Linked DNA regions of Caenorhabditis elegans. The protein of the gene in region 1 interacts with the protein of each later gene in a pairwise test. Each region holds a gene or a part of one and is shown on either strand. Other genes may lie near its edges.

Evidence for each region. The genes of interacting proteins can lie anywhere in the genome.
Region 2: the proteins of F47B8.3 (region 1) and nssp-82 interact in a two-hybrid assay, tested with the Caenorhabditis elegans proteins (one large-scale study listed by BioGRID).

What each region holds. Positions count from the first base shown.
Region 1 is NC_003283.11:14,320,512-14,324,559, forward strand, and holds F47B8.3 (Glutaredoxin domain-containing protein), read right to left. Parts: upstream 2,493-4,048; 5' UTR 2,366-2,492; coding exon 2,265-2,365; intron 1,818-2,264; coding exon 1,559-1,817; intron 1,513-1,558; coding exon 1,339-1,512; intron 1,289-1,338; coding exon 968-1,288; 3' UTR 856-967; downstream 1-855. Other genes in the region: F47B8.14 (Skin secretory protein xP2-like), read left to right, coding at 35-802; F47B8.4 (Glutaredoxin domain-containing protein), read right to left, coding at 3,096-3,416, 3,461-3,640, 3,686-3,938, 3,983-4,048.
Region 2 is NC_003284.9:8,065,652-8,068,946, reverse strand, and holds nssp-82 (Neuropeptide-Like Protein), read right to left. Parts: upstream 1,380-3,295; 5' UTR 1,260-1,379; coding exon 1,185-1,259; intron 1,137-1,184; coding exon 1,080-1,136; intron 1,020-1,079; coding exon 924-1,019; 3' UTR 850-923; downstream 1-849.

The DNA of each region.
Region 1 (4,048 bases):
TTCAGATTATTCAACTAAATATTAATTTCCAGATATGAATCTCTTTTTGATCTTCGCTGCTTCTACTTTAATTTTCTCTGCTCACTGTCAGTATTCAAGTGGCGGAGGAGGTGGTGGTTACTCAGGTGGTGGAGGTGGTGGAGGAGACGCTGCTCCACCTCCTCCTCCACCTGCCGATGCCGCACCAGCTCCAGCCCCAGCTCCGGAACCAGAAGCCGCCCCTGCAGCACCAGCAGCCGATGCCGGAGGTTATGCCGCTGCTGCATCAGCCGGCGGTGGATCATATCCAGCCAAGAAGAGAAGAGTTGCTCGTGACTATGCTGAAGGAGGAGCTGCTCCAGCTGCTCCAGCAGAACCCGCTTCAGCTCCAGCTCCAGCACCCGAAGCGGCTCCAGCACCAGAACCAACGCCAGCTCCAGCTCCAGAAGCCGCTCCAGCTCCGGCACCAGATGCCGCTCCAACAGCCCCAGCAGCAGGCGCAGGTGGATATTCCGCCGGCGCAGATGCTCCAACTGGTGGTGGATCTTATCCATCCAAGAAGAGAAGAGTTGCTCGTGATTATGCTGAAGAAGGTGCCGCTCCAGCTGCGCCAGCAGAACCCGCCCCAGTTCCTGCACCAGAACCAGCACCAGAAGCCGCTCCAGCACCAGCACCAGAAGCCGCTCCAGTTCCGGCACAAGATGCCGCTCCAGCAGCCCCAGCAGCAGACGCAGGTGGATATTCCGCCGGCGCAGCTGCTCCAGCTGCTGACGGATCTTACCCGACTAAGAAAATGATGAGATTTTCTCGTCTCGTTATTTAACTGACACTTTTTTATATCCCCATGTATCTCTCTCACTGTAACCGGTTCATAATTTTTACGGTTTTTAATAACTTCATTTCATTAATAAATAGATTCATCATGTGAGTTTTACGAGGTATTCGGAGTAAATGAGGTTTGTAAAAAGATCAGGTAGAAAATAGTGATTCAATTCATTGTGTAGACCTTGGGAAGCTTCGGAAGCAAATTTTCTAGATTTGACAATGGTTCAAAAGCTCCATCAACGAACAGCTGAGGGAAGGTTTCACAATCTGATAATGCTTTTGAAATAAATCGAATTTCAGAATCTGTGGAAACATCAAATATAGTGTAATCTATTTGATTATCACTGAGTGATTGTATTGTAGATAGAGTTTGCTCATCCTCAAGATAATTTACAAAAAGAAGAACTGGTTTCCGGAAGATTTTGTAAATTTTAGCTTGACCATTCTCCATTTTTGAATTATCATTTCGAATTTCACTTTCTTCCTGAAAACATAACTTTTAAAATTGTACATGAATTTCAGTTCAGAACAAACCTCCCTTTGAGCTGTTTGTTTTGTCAATTGATCTGGAAAATTTGTGGCTTTTCTGCTAACGGGTAGTTTTTCTGGATTTGCAGTGTCTTCTTCCAAAGTTTCAAAAGTTGGAACATCAAATGGGTTAAGCTTGTTAATTAGTTTCTCAACTTTTTGAATTGAGAAATTGTCTCTCTGGAAATTTAATGATTGAAAATTTTAAGAGAATGTTTTAACTTACCTCTAGTTCATTTATTTCCAAAACGATCAGATTCAAAATATCGTCGAACTTGTCCAATTTTCTTTTTGCTAGCTGTGAATTTTGCAATTCAATGTACTCCGAAGCCACGTTTCTGAGGTCTTCAATCCTATTCTGAACAACTGTTACAATGATCTTCAATGCTTTCAGGTCATTCACAAATTTGTCTTCATTGGAATCCCAAAATTTGAAGACACTTTGAAACTGGAGAAATTGAATTCGCATTTGGATCATTGCATCTCTGAAAAAAATTTAAATTTGTTCAGTGTCTAATTTCATATTTTAATAAAAATTATGGTTTCCGCAAGTTTTCGCAATTCAAAATCGATTAATTATGAATGTGAGCAAATCTTGAATTTCACAAATGTTCCGCGTTTTTCAACGGAAAAATTACGGTTTCAGGCAAAATTTGTATGCTAAAATGAAATATTTTATCGAAAAATACAAAACATAAAATTAGGAGTGGAATTGAAATATTCAACTGAAATTTCGGAATCAAATTTCTTGGTTATAATTTGAAAATTTGGACTTACAATTAATACCTAATTGAATTTTTCTTATTCCACCTCAGAATTTCAGCTAAAAGAGCCTTTTCTAATCTGAAACTTACTGTCTGAACATCTTAAAAAATTTAAATTATTTCGCAACCGTCACTAGTTTTTCATGTTTTAGGGAACGTTTCTCTCACCTCAAAACTGTGAGTTTCACACCTAAATCCTCTTCACCAGCTTCACTTTCCAATTCGGGTTTCAGTTTCTCCGGAGACTTTCCAAAAACTCCGCGCATCATCGTTTCCTAGAAGGACGAAGCAAAAGAAAGAAAAAATTAAAATTGGTTGGCGAAGAATAACTAGTTCGAGAAAAAAGCAAACATATAAATAGTGTAAGAGAACGGAGACGCAGTGTTTCATAGTCAAGGCTTTTTCTCTGTTTCTCTTCGATTTATATGGTGCATCGGTGAGGAACAGGAGGATGGCAGAGAGGCTAGAGATGCCATGTGAGAGGGATACCAGGGTTCTCTGTTCTCAGATATGACCAAAAAGTCAGAAAGAGAATTTTAAGAAAAATGAGATATAAAATTACTGTTTCAATGGCTTTTTAAGCACAGCTCAAAAATGGAGGATTTTTTCAAAAAAAATCTTTCAAACGCCAAAATGTTCCACAAGTTTGTCTACATGATTCCTATTGAGGAAATCTCATATCCAAACTCTGGAAAAAGTTCAAGCAGCTGATATCTCGCGAGTCATTATTTGACAATTATTTTTGAAACTTAAGAATAGTTTTTTTTAAGAGTAGAGTTGCTTTAATAAAGCACAAATAAAAACGTTCTAACTACATTTTTACGTACGTCCTTTCGGAAAATCTTGCAGAATTAACGAAAAACTAAAATCGATGAAATTCGATAGCAAATCATATGAATGAATAGTTTTTAAATATCATTATTTTTGAAAAAATTTATTTTAAATTGATAATAAAAAATAAACAATACATATACATATAGCTTAGAAATTGTGTGATGCTCAATTCATTGTGTAGACCTTGGGAAGCTTCGGAAGAAGATTTTTCAGAATTGGCAATGGCTCAAAAGCTCCATCAACGAACAGCTGAGGGAAGGTTTCACAATCTGATAATGCTTTTGAAATAAATCGAATTTCAGAATCTGTGGAAACATCAAATATAGTGTATTCAATTTGATTATCATTGAGTGATTGTATTGTAGATAAAGTTTGCTCATCCTCAAGATAATTCACGAAAAGAACAACCGATTTTCGGAAGATTTTGTAAATTTTAGCTTGACCACTCATCATTCTACAATTATCCATTCTGATCTCATTTTCTTCCTGTAACATAATTTTGTAGCAAACTGTAAGAGATTTAAACTCACTTCGAGTTGAAAAGTCTCCCTTTGCGTTTTAATTTCTAGTTTTTCAGGAATATTTCCCATTGATGAAACTTGAGTATTCAGTTCTAATACGACGCCTTGAATATTTTCGTAAATTGGCACGTCGAATGGATTGAGATTGTTGATTAGTTTCTCTACCTTCTCGATGAAAAAATTTTGGCCCTGAAATTCTATTCTTAAATTTCTAAAAAAATAAAAAAACATTACTTTTGCTTTGCTTATTTCGAATGCTATTTTATTCAATGTATACTCAAAGCTATCAATAATTGTCTTCAACATCTGGAGGTTCTTGATTTTGAAATATTCTCCAACTATCAGCTTTATATCGTCAATTTGGTTTTGAACGACTATAATTATAACATTGAGTGACTTCTTTTCGTGCTCAATTTTGGCTTTATTCTGATGATAGAAAATACTTTGAAAATGTAGAAACTGAACTCGTAATTGAATCATTGCATCTCTGAAAATGTGCTTTCTGGTGAACGCAATATGTTTCCTATATACCTTAAAACTGTAAGTTTGACACTGAAATCTTCCTCACTTGAATGCCAAGCAGCTTCATTGAATTCT
Region 2 (3,295 bases), on another chromosome or scaffold:
CTAATAATGTATTCTTAACAAAGCAAAACCCGCAAACAAACCTCAATTCAAAGCTGAAAAGAAGCGAGATCAGAAAAATGCCTGAAAAAAATTTTATATATTAATATATATATAACGTTCAGTTTTTTATTATTTAATCGACCAACGTGACTACTCGGCAAATTGCTCCTCCTGAAGCGCGACTAGATTACTGGTTCACGCTCCAATGACACGTGTTTTCTAGCTTCTTCCGCGCCAAGTTTGCGCTCTGATCGCGTTCTATCCGCGCGCACAGAATTTTTTAAAGACATTTTACAAATTTGGAATGCGCGCGGAGCAGACGCGATCAGTCTATGGGTAATCAAGTACTCTAGTCCCTAGTTGAAAAATTTAGCTATGGTTTAACAAGGGTAATCGTTCAACACAAAACAAACAATCAACAAAAAACTTCGTTGCATTTTCAATGTTCTCAGCCTGAAAGTTTTTTCTTCAAAGCACCAGAATTTAGAAAAGTCTTGTCTACATATATTTGTTCTTTGGCTTAACGTATTGGGTGGTATGACCTGATTATTATGAAAATGTTATGCATGACCTCTTTTTCAAAGGAAAATGATCTCCTTCAAATACCACATCCTAGTTTTCTCTTTAGTTTAGTTCCTCCAATTAGTGTTTTTACCAACTTTAAAAGTGACTTGGACCAGATCACGTTTCTCGACATTTTTAATGACCTTCTGAATTATTCTATTCGAATAAAGAGCCACCGTTGCAGACCAGCGAGTTCGGAAGTTGCAGTGTGCAAAAATGTAATTTCCTTTTCAACTATATATAAATTAATTCAATATGTTCAGTCTTGTTTAAAAAAACAAAAAACACATAACAACTTTTTATTTTCACTGACAAACGAACGGGAAAACGTAAGATCTTGAGAAACGAATGAATAAAATTTATTCCTCATCGAAGCGTTTGCGCCATGAACCGAAAAAAAGTGGTCGAGAGGAGCCGCTTTCAGCAAACGCCGACACTGGACCGTAGCCTTGAATCTGAAAATTGTGACTCTGTAAAAACTGCAGCTGAAAACTAACAGTAAATCATCTACCAACCTGTCTGGAGCGTTGGGAAGTTCTCCAGGATGGTTGATTGAAGGAAACTGAGTGAAACTGAAAATTGTGAATTTAGCTTTCATTTCAACACTAATTATGTTTTACCTTGACCACCTTTGTGGTAGTTTCAACTACCAAAACACACAAGAAAAAAGCGAGAAGAAGTTTGACGTTGAACATGACGGCGATGCGGCTCTACAAATGGGGTTTGATGTTTTTAACCTTATACAACTCGGCAAGAAAGTAGTGAGCCGGAAAATAAAATGACCAATAGAACAAGTATTTCTCGGGAAATAGAATGGGTTCTCCAGTTTTCAAGTAGGTGTGCAAAGTGGCACATAGGGTGGAAATAAGAAGGAAAATGATATCATGTGGGTGGATGGTGCATCGAATAATATCCATTGTTCTGTTTTTTACGCACAAAATACATATTATCTGATTAGAATACCATAAATAAAAAATCATGTCCCACAAGCTATTCATATGTTTTAAAAAATTATTTTAAGTTTTTAAAGCATTTTTACCGAAAAAAACATATCAACTTGCTCAATATTCGCAAAATTAAGCGACCAGGTAAGGAATAGAAAGTGGATGAGTAGAAAATGGCTGACATCTTCTTCTACTTCTATTGGCACCACGACTTCCAAAAAACTCTGGAAAAGCCATTAGTGCGATTGAGCAACCAAAAAAAAACTTGACGTGTCCACGTGCATGCCTATGCACACATAGTGAGATATGCTAGTTGAATTGGTCAACTAAAATTAAGAATTTTAAAGCAGGCAAGCACTTTGGTGGACTTTGTCAAGTGACGTTTGGGGTTGGACAACGGAAATTCATGGATATTTCAATACGTGTCATTTATTTTCAATGGCCCAGCGATTTTCGATATTTCAAAAGTTCACCTACGTATAAAAACAACCATTGAAGATTTATGAACTGCAATTTCTTAAATGAGAAGTTCGGGGAAATATTTTGAACGATGTCTACAGGAAAACAAAATTCAAGTGTGCATGAAATTGGGAAAAACGAGAATTTATAGTTTTGGAGAAATTTGGCTCCGAGTCAGTAACATGAGAGCGCCCACAAGGTAATTTGCATTAAAATGTGTTTGGATGAGTATTCAGATAATTTTTGTTGTTTTTCTAGTCACAACGCCCACTTTTGTTGGCTTACATGATGCTTAGATATACCAAAATTTTTGCATTCAACGTTTTATACCTATTTTTTTGAAAGCTTGATTGTTTTAAATATCACTGAAATAATCCGAAGAAAAACAAGAATTATCATCACTGAGTTTTTACATATGTTATATAGACTTTAAATGCGCCGAAATAAACAAATTGTTGTAATGAAACCTCCCAGCCATATTCAGAAATTTTTATGGCGGCTCAAAATAAACAGAGAAAAAGTATAATTTTAACTAAAAACTTGACGTTTGCCAACTTTGCATCGTTTTTTTTTTGAGACGCAGCAATGTTGTAGGATCAGATTTTCGTCAGAATTGGGTTATTTTTTTTAACAAAAAAAGAAGTTTAAAAAGGTTTTTTAAAAGTTCAAATATAATTTTCATTGGCTAAATTTCAAATTTTGATTATTTGAACTCACAATAATTTTTCAACTGTCTCATAAAATTGTAAAAGCGGTCTACATATATAGTGGACATTGTTTTTCTCAGTTACCACAAAACCACTAAAATGGTTTGCCCTCATCTTCTTTAAAATTCTAATTTTGTAGAACACTTGTCAATTAATTCTTAGAACCGGGTAGAGTTTGCTTCTTTGGTCTCACCGCTGTTATAAAGTGGGAATTTCGGTGAAACTGCACACTTCCCTGAACATCTTATAAGGAAATTGTGTGGTTTTCGATTTTTTATAAGGAATGAAAAAAAAACGAACAACATTTTGTTTCTGGAAAGCAATAGAATTCTCAAGTTTTCAATCGAGATTGAAGATCATTGAAGTCGGCCAGCAAATATACCCAATCTAATTGTTTTTTCTTGAAGAGCACTTCTTCCAAATGGAAATGGCAAAAATGAATTTGCGGCTTTACGATTTCGAATACTAAATACGAACAATTTTGAGAATGAGGAAATTGAGCACTCAGTTCGGAATTAAAAGTTTTCGTGAAAACATATCCGTTCATTTACCATCAATTTAAAAGGGAAAAAATAAAATAAGAATAATATAAATTTTTATTATTTTTATTCCTACATTTCC